Linked DNA regions of Daphnia pulex. Each later gene encodes a partner of the first gene's protein in a complex. Links are inferred from orthologs where the notes say so. Each region holds a gene or a part of one and is shown on either strand. Other genes may lie near its edges.

Evidence for each region.
Region 2: mediator of RNA polymerase II transcription subunit 19-like (region 1) and mediator of RNA polymerase II transcription subunit 20-like share a complex: the UniProt entries of both Drosophila melanogaster proteins name them as parts of the mediator complex. The link is inferred for Daphnia pulex from reciprocal best matches to the Drosophila melanogaster genes MED19 and MED20.

Annotation. Positions count from the first base shown.
Region 1 is NC_060023.1:10,280,136-10,283,531, forward strand, and holds mediator of RNA polymerase II transcription subunit 19-like, read left to right. Parts: upstream 1-1,503; 5' UTR 1,504-1,720; coding exon 1,721-1,925; intron 1,926-1,966; coding exon 1,967-2,238; intron 2,239-2,303; coding exon 2,304-2,648; 3' UTR 2,649-2,731; downstream 2,732-3,396. Other genes in the region: required for excision 1-B domain-containing protein-like, read right to left, coding at 174-350, 412-610, 677-762; MAP kinase-activating death domain protein-like, read right to left, coding at 3,114-3,200. UniProt on the Drosophila melanogaster protein: Component of the Mediator complex, a coactivator involved in the regulated transcription of nearly all RNA polymerase II-dependent genes.
Region 2 is NC_060026.1:11,663,626-11,668,119, forward strand, and holds the start of mediator of RNA polymerase II transcription subunit 20-like, read right to left. Parts: upstream 3,011-4,494; 5' UTR 2,828-3,010; coding exon 2,814-2,827; intron 2,694-2,813; coding exon 2,551-2,693; intron 1-2,550. UniProt on the Drosophila melanogaster protein: Component of the Mediator complex, a coactivator involved in the regulated transcription of nearly all RNA polymerase II-dependent genes.

The DNA.
Region 1 (3,396 bases):
AACATTCCTCTTATTAGTTTTGAAACTTAACTTGCCAAGAATTTAAATATGTTAAATAGAAAACTAAGAATGCAACATTTAGTTAGAAGCATTATGATGCTGTATTTCTTTAGATTGTCAACAGGTTAATGCAAATATGGGAAGAGAATAATCTTCAGTGATGAAAATAAAAATTACATCAGATCAGCCAATTGGTAACAAACAGCTTCCATGTTTTGATTGATCTTGTCTTGAACCACAGCCAATTCTTTCTTCAAGTGATGCACTTCACGCATGAGAATGTCATTTTCAGCATCCTCAATATGTTGCATGTCTTGCAACTCTTGTTTAGCCAATTGCAATCGAGCCATCTAAACAGAAAATCAACAAGTTTAATAAATCTTTAAATCTTAATCTTTAATAATTTTTTACCAGTTCCAGCTGCCTTTTCTCATAATCCTGCACTTTGATAACATGCAATGTCAGTTCAGGCTGCATGTTTCTCAATTGGCACTCAATTTTAATTATTTCTTCTGAGATTCGCTTAAAGTCTTGAGTTATGTCTTGAACAAGTGTACGAAACTGGATAAAGTCATAATTTGGTCCAGTGCTCAGATAAATCTTATGCCCTCTGGAAAGAAACAATACATGCAAAAATTACCTCATGTGAAATTTTTTAAATAACATTGTAACTCACTCATGAAAAATCTTGTAGGTGTGGACCCTTTCCTCTTGCAATTGCTGGAATTTCCTCAAAAGGCCATAAGCTGTGACTCCATCCATGTTGAGAATTATAATTTTACTAACGTGTAACGAACAAAACGGAATGAACGATCTAGGTAAAGAAAAGATACGAATTGTATTGTATATTTAAAAGGAAATAAGCCTAGGTTATACAAATAATTACCTTTGGAGAAACAGAGTTCTTATTATCACGGTTGCGAAGGTAGGTTTTCTATCCTCGTAACATCACGACTTGTGGTTCCAGAATAAAGAGGACGACTATATTTTAAGGGTGACGACCCGGTCCTTTCATCAACGCCCCTAGGGTCAATTCTGAGACAGACAAAAAAAGGGCTGGGTTACTGGGTTGGAAAAGCTGAGTCTGGCCTTTAAAAAACCCTCTACAATACACTAGGGAGTATGAGATAAGGATTTTTTAAAAAACAGCCTCTGCCTTCAGCCAGTTTTCTGACTTTTCTTGAGACTATTGAAGGACGCCGAACTCGAATTCGAAAGTTGAATTCGACCTCTGGCTAGATAGATATTTTTTGATAACATGAATAATAAAATATACATCAACAGTTTGATACTATTACCAGACGGAAATTGAAAAAAATTGTGATTAAACTCACCATTAAATCACACGAGGCGGACACAAAACTATCTACCCTAGCAACTGCCACTGAGTCTAAACCTCGTGTGACTTTTTGACTTTTGAAAGCGTGCTCTCGCCAACTTGGCCAATTCAAGTCCTCGGGCAAAAATATTTGCATAGAGGAGCATCTAGTTATATCTTTTGGGTACAGGTGGCGCTGGTGTTTCGTTATGCTTTTTCGCTGCTGTGTTTACTCTGTCAATTGTCATTTTTGGCATCCAACATTTGCCTGAATAATTTATTAATATCTATAATTACTACGATATATCGGATTCGACCAAGGTCAGTCTAGTCGGATACGGAGATTTTACAAGCGATGACCTCATACTAACGAGTAAAAAGGGTAAAAGTTTTTGACAAAAAATGTCGGAATCATTCACCATCCAAGTGGCCGATTCTCTTCGGAGATTTGAGCCGAATTCTCCAAGATCTTCTCCAAGAGGAAATCGAAGCCCAGTTGTTCCCAGGCAACAAGATTCCACTGGAACACTGAAAACCACCATATCACTTGGAAAGACCCCAACAATTGTTCATACCGGACCATTTTATCTTCACAAGGAACTGCCAGGTATACATATTTTACGTGACTGTATCATTCTTTCACTCAAGGTAAATCTATCGCAGGAGATACTGACCTAACCGGAGCAACAAATTTAATGGCTCACTACAATTTGGAACATTCATACAACAAATTCAGTGGCAAAAAGTTCAAAGATTCGCTATCTTCATTCTTACCTGGATTACCCGGCATGATTGATACTCCTGGTAACACAGACAATTCATCCTTAAGATCCATCATTGAAAAACCTCCAATCGGTGGCAAGGAGTTGGTATTCTTGAATTCCTCTCAACTTGCAGGATTCCGTCTTCATCCAGGACCAGTAAGAGACTTTTAGACAGCAAATCACATAATTGTTATTTTAATTTTCACATCTTTATTTCATAGTTGCCTGAGCAGTATCAAACCTCTTCCCTGGCCCCACTGAAGAAAAAACAGAAACACAAGAAACACAAAAAGAGTAGCGAGATCTCAATTCAAGAAACTGGAGCTGGAATCGCTGGACCGGGCATTGGAGTAGTAGGAGAGGGAGGAGCCGGTTCGGGCGGTGAATCCTACGAAAAAAAGCATAAGAAACAAAAGCGACACGAAGATGAGAAAGATCGCAAGAAGAAGAAGAAGGAGAAGAAGAAAAAGAAACAGAAGCACAGTCCAGAACACCCAGGAGCATCAGCCTCAATCGGTACTACAAATTCAAACAGTAACCCACCTGGAATGATGCCCTTACTTTGAGAAACCTTCTTGTCACGTCGATTTATTTCGAATTTTTTCTGCTTCTTTCGAGAGTATAAATAAAATTCCATTCAATGAGTGAATTTTGGTTTATTATTATTCATTCTTTCAAATATTTTCTTCTAAATCGGAGTTTGAAAGCTATAGCGTTGGCTTGCCCGAAAACAATGATAAGCACGTCACGATAGCTACACGCAAGTCACAATCGCTCAAATGATATGATCAATAGGGTAAAACAACTTTATATTCATTAATTACAAATACTAACAGTGAATGTTCGAACGCAAATTTGTCAACTGCTGTTGGTTCAAATTTCTTGATGAACCGTACCATGACTAGATAATTATTATTGCGACGACTCGTACGACAAAACGAACGAGTAATCATTTAAGTACAACAACTAAAAGTAACAAGCGAATCAAGTGATGTCCGGTGTGTGTTGCTTGGTCGATTGATGATGAGCTTTCAAGTCGGCTCAACCTTTTTACGCTGTTCGCTTCCGGCGGCCACGTAAGAAAACACGCAGAGAACAGCGTAACAAATCTGATCCGCCTGTTTTGTTTAAAAGAACAAAAAAAGGTTGATTAATATAATAACAAATGATTCAACAGAAGACACAGCAAAAGAAAAATAAATAAATAAAAAGCAGGTCAAATAGCAAAACGAAACTTGCCTTTGACCGGATCACAACAAAGAAACAGAATAAGTGGATTGCAGACCGTCTTTATCAAACTGAAAGTTTAATCCA
Region 2 (4,494 bases), on another chromosome or scaffold:
ATGAGGCTGGAGAAAAACTTCTTCTTCTTCTTTAGGCCCAATCGGTTCGTGACACGCGATATCTCTCACGAACGATTCCCACACCACGTCGCAGAGTTAGATCAAGAGAGAGGCCCTGACCAATCTCAATCGAGTAGAGATCCCAAACACCCGACAAAAGGGCAACCAACCCAATGTGCTTTCTCGCTCACTTCTTCTTCTTCTTCTTCTTTTACAAGGAACTTGGTGATATTCCATCAGGCTCACATCATCCCCCCCGGTAATAGGATACATCTTCTTTTATTTCCTGGTGTGGTGGCTGCTGCTGCTGCCCTTTTCTGTGTTAAACCAAATCAATCCAGCTCGTGAATTATTCAACGCATTCCAATCAACTTATGGACGCTTCTTTTCTTCTTCTTCTACTTCATGTATAACCTCCTCCTCTTTCACCTGATATAAAAATATTTTCTCTCTTTCCTTCTCTTTTGCGCCATCCCCCGATCGGAATGTCTTCATTTCGGACGGACGGACGGGGAGATTTCTCGACGAGATCTTCTTTCTCTCGCCCCCCTACCGTAGCACAGAGGAAAGGTTAACCAAAGGTAATAATTTACCTGCCTTCCTAGTTCTTTTTTTTTTTTTTATTTTTATCATACGAAACAAACGGCTTTCACCCCCCTGTAGGAAGGTGTGGTTATACACCCGGGGTAAAATCAGAAAGAAAAAAGAACGGGGGAAAATGTTTTATACACACGAGCCCTTAACGATTGAAAGATCACAAATAATAAAACACACAGGAGAAAATGAAGTTGGACAACTTCAAAAAGAGAAAACGTTTTTTAAGACTCTCTTTTCTCCGCGTCTTTTTAAAGGGTCATTAAAAAACATTTGGTTAAAGTCCAGAGGGGGCTCCCACAAGCTCAGATTTCATCATTCCAACTTGATCGTTTTGGAAGAAAAAGAGAAAAAAATAAAAAGATGAAAATGTCCGCGTTTCTTTCACTGATAGATTCTCCTACTTCCCAAAAACTCGCCAAGTTGGCCCGTCCTGTGTAGGTGTCAGCTGAGAAAACTCGTACGGGGGTGCGGAGAGATTCAATTTCACAGATGAACGGCACAGACTGACGGCCAGATGTAGAGAGGATACCAAGTGGGGGGAACGCCGGAAAACAACAGAAAATCGGCGAAATCGGCAAAAAAGAAGAGAGGAGTGTGCTCGCGCTATGGTCTTCTGTTGGAGACGGGAAAAGATATTGCGACTATTTGTTCCTTTTTCAACATTTTTTTTTATTATTTTCGGTCCGAAACTGGCCGGCCCCCCTCTCTATTTCCGTGACGACACGAATCACGCCCAAGATTGACGACAACAAGAAAGTTTGGGGGGAACGGTTCCCTCCTCTTCAGATGCGCTCCGGGAGGGGGGTTTTCTAACAAGAAGAAGGAGGAGGCTTCGTCGCATATATATCTCTACTACTCCTTTTTCCCTTGTAACTTATTAAAACATTTCAAGAATGTGTCGTGTGTATCTGCTGGCTCCACCCCTTTTGATTTCCAGTCGCTTGAAATGTGTGCGAAAATGGAAACTAATTGTGAAAAAAAGGAATGAAGTGGAGAGAGAGGGGATGAAGCTATTTAAATGTAAACATGTCGAGACAGAGCTATTCTCGGTCGTTCTTTTTGCCAAGTGGTGCACACAAGTCAGCTGATGGCCCTGTGGCGTATCAAATACGCTTGACATCGAATTGCCGAGTTAGACGAGAGAGAGAGAAGAGAAAGAGAGTCGAGAGAGGCTACGGATCGATGAAACAAAAGACGCCAACTGTATCAACGCTCAGCCTTAACAGACTTAAGAGACAATAAGGCGGCGGCGGCGGCAGCAGACGGGCAGATTCAACGTCGCGGAATGGCAGTAGAACAATGCGGAATCGAAATACGAAATTCAAAACAAAAAAATTAATAAAAAGAAAAAAACAAATTTGTTTTTTTTCACGAATTGAATGGACCGTATGTCATCGGTCCCAGAGGCGTCCGTGAGTCAAAGAGCCAAGGACGGGCAAGTATATATGTTGACAGCTTGTCACTAGCGCACGTAGGACGGCCTACCTGAATTACCCGGCAGAACGAATCGTTTTAGGGGGAAAAAAAAGCTAGCTTCACTCGACACGGTCCTTAAATAAAAGTTGGAATAGCAAAAAGGGAATAAAGAAAACTAAGCAAAGAGTTTGGGAGGAAAAAATAAAAGAGGTAGAGACATCCATATGTGGGAATGGAAGGGGAGGAAATTTACAAGTCAGGTAGTGTGTTTTGCTCGTAAAAGGTGTTTAGAGGATTCGGATATCTCGTGTGTTACGTGTCGAGCGGATGGTTAAAATCAAAAGAACTCGGTGCCCTCCACATTTGAGTTATTCAAATGTAGAGATGGGTGGTGCCATCTGGTTATGGGAAAGCTGAACAGTTCCAACGGTGGACTTGGAGCTGGTAAAGTGAGCAGCAGATGGGTCTGCTGTCACAACTTGTTTACCACCATGGACTTGAATCGGGAAAAATGTAATAGAAGATTGTGTTTTTTACCCAATGATGCAGTAGAACTGTAAGTTTCACAATCCACGATGAAGGATCCACTAAGAACAGCTCCCAGAGCAATGGCCCGTTTGGTCAACATTTCAATAACCTGAGGACCGGACTTGCCTTCAGGAACAGCAAACAGTTGTAAACTAAAATTGAAAAACAACATCAAATTAGTAATTATTTCATACAAACTTGTGATTCAATTAATGGTTCCTTCATTTGAATGAAATGTGATAAAGCTGAGAGACACTGAATGCTTTACTCACACTATGACACCCATGATGTTGTTACAGGGTCAACTAGGTAAATTCCACACACAGTCGACTCCCCGAAATTACACCTGAATGTTTATATTCTATTCCTATACTTAATTACAAAACAAAAAGATGAAAAAGAAAGTCACGTTTGTTTCAAAACAAACTGCTTTTCGTGCCTGTCAGAAAGACCGGCTTCGATATAAGTATCGATATGCTCCTTAACAATCGATCAATCGATTTTCCTTTTTCTTGATTTTTACTATTTAAAAATAGATTGGGGAAAAGTCGGAAAACGGGAACACAAACAAGAGCTGTGAAACCTTGAAGCATTCACACTCCTCCCCTTGACAAAAACAAAAAAAAAAAAAACGGGTGAGAAATATCATCCAATATTCACGTACGACAGTTCTGAAGTGAGAAAAACCTCGCGTCGAGCATTTGTAAGAAAAAGTGGGTGGGAACCGGATGAACACTATACTACAAGTGAGCCGTTATAGAGTGTGTGGCCCGTCTCGAGCTATATGTCTAAATAAAAGTAGCTGCTCAACATTTATCTTGGGGTTTCTTTGACGACAGGCCCATAACTCTCTCTTTTACTCTTAAATTGTTACACAACATGCAAATATACCCACGGAGCTCTCTCTCTTGTACCGCTGAATGTGCGAGTTTGAACATATGTAGTCACAAAACCGCTGACGTTCGTGTGCGGATAACATTCGAAATTATTTCTGTTGATAGTGTGATACTCGGCGTTTAATAAACCCGCTCGCGGGTATTACGATGGGGTATTATGTGCGCTCGACACACTCCCGCGCGCAAAGATGAGGTCAACCGATTCCACCGCATACATAATGGGATCTAGACTAGAAACCGGCGGCGCCTATCTGTGTGAATGTCCGTCGTCGTCGTGTGTATTATGAGCGGAATAACAAAATCTCGTTCATGTCTGTCCCCCCCCCCGTCGTCGCTTATCTACAAAATAGTCCCACCCCCACCCCCCCATACATACATGTATGGAGAGAGTTTATATCTAGGAAGTTGGTGCACTCGGTTCAGCGAACGACTAGGGTTGCTAGGAAACCATTGATCCATCCCTCAAGGATATATGTGCATGTGTAAAAAAAGAGGAGTGGGGGGGGGGGGAACCGGGCTTGCGTACTAACTGATCCTTCTCGCAAATGGTGAGAACAGGAGGAAAGAAAAAGTCAAAAGGGATTTTTTTTTTTGAAATTTATTTGTTTCGAAAAAGAAATAGGAAACCATCCAGTCAAGAGAGGGGGGAGAGTACTGTAAAACAAAAAATCTGCCAGTTGCTCGCTGGCGTGCCTCAGCAGCATCCGGAATCTTCTAGAAAAAAAAAATTTGATTACCAATTCATTTCTTATTCCGGTCGAGTCTCAAAGTGAAACTGGTGGCGCGGTGTGTTAAAAGGAAAAGCGAAACGCGCTGACCCCCGCAAGGTGAAAAAATAAAATAAAAAAGGGAATGAAGAAAAAATTCCTGATCCGATTATACAAGTTCCTATATAGTCGCCGGAGTTGCAATTTTGTACCGCCGTTGGGTATATATATATAGTATAGTAGGATGGAGCCCTATATAATCTAGCTACTCTATATACATAGTCTAGCGCGAGAGAAATCCATACTACTACTTTAAGGCTATATACCGTCCAATGCCCATCTTGGGTGGC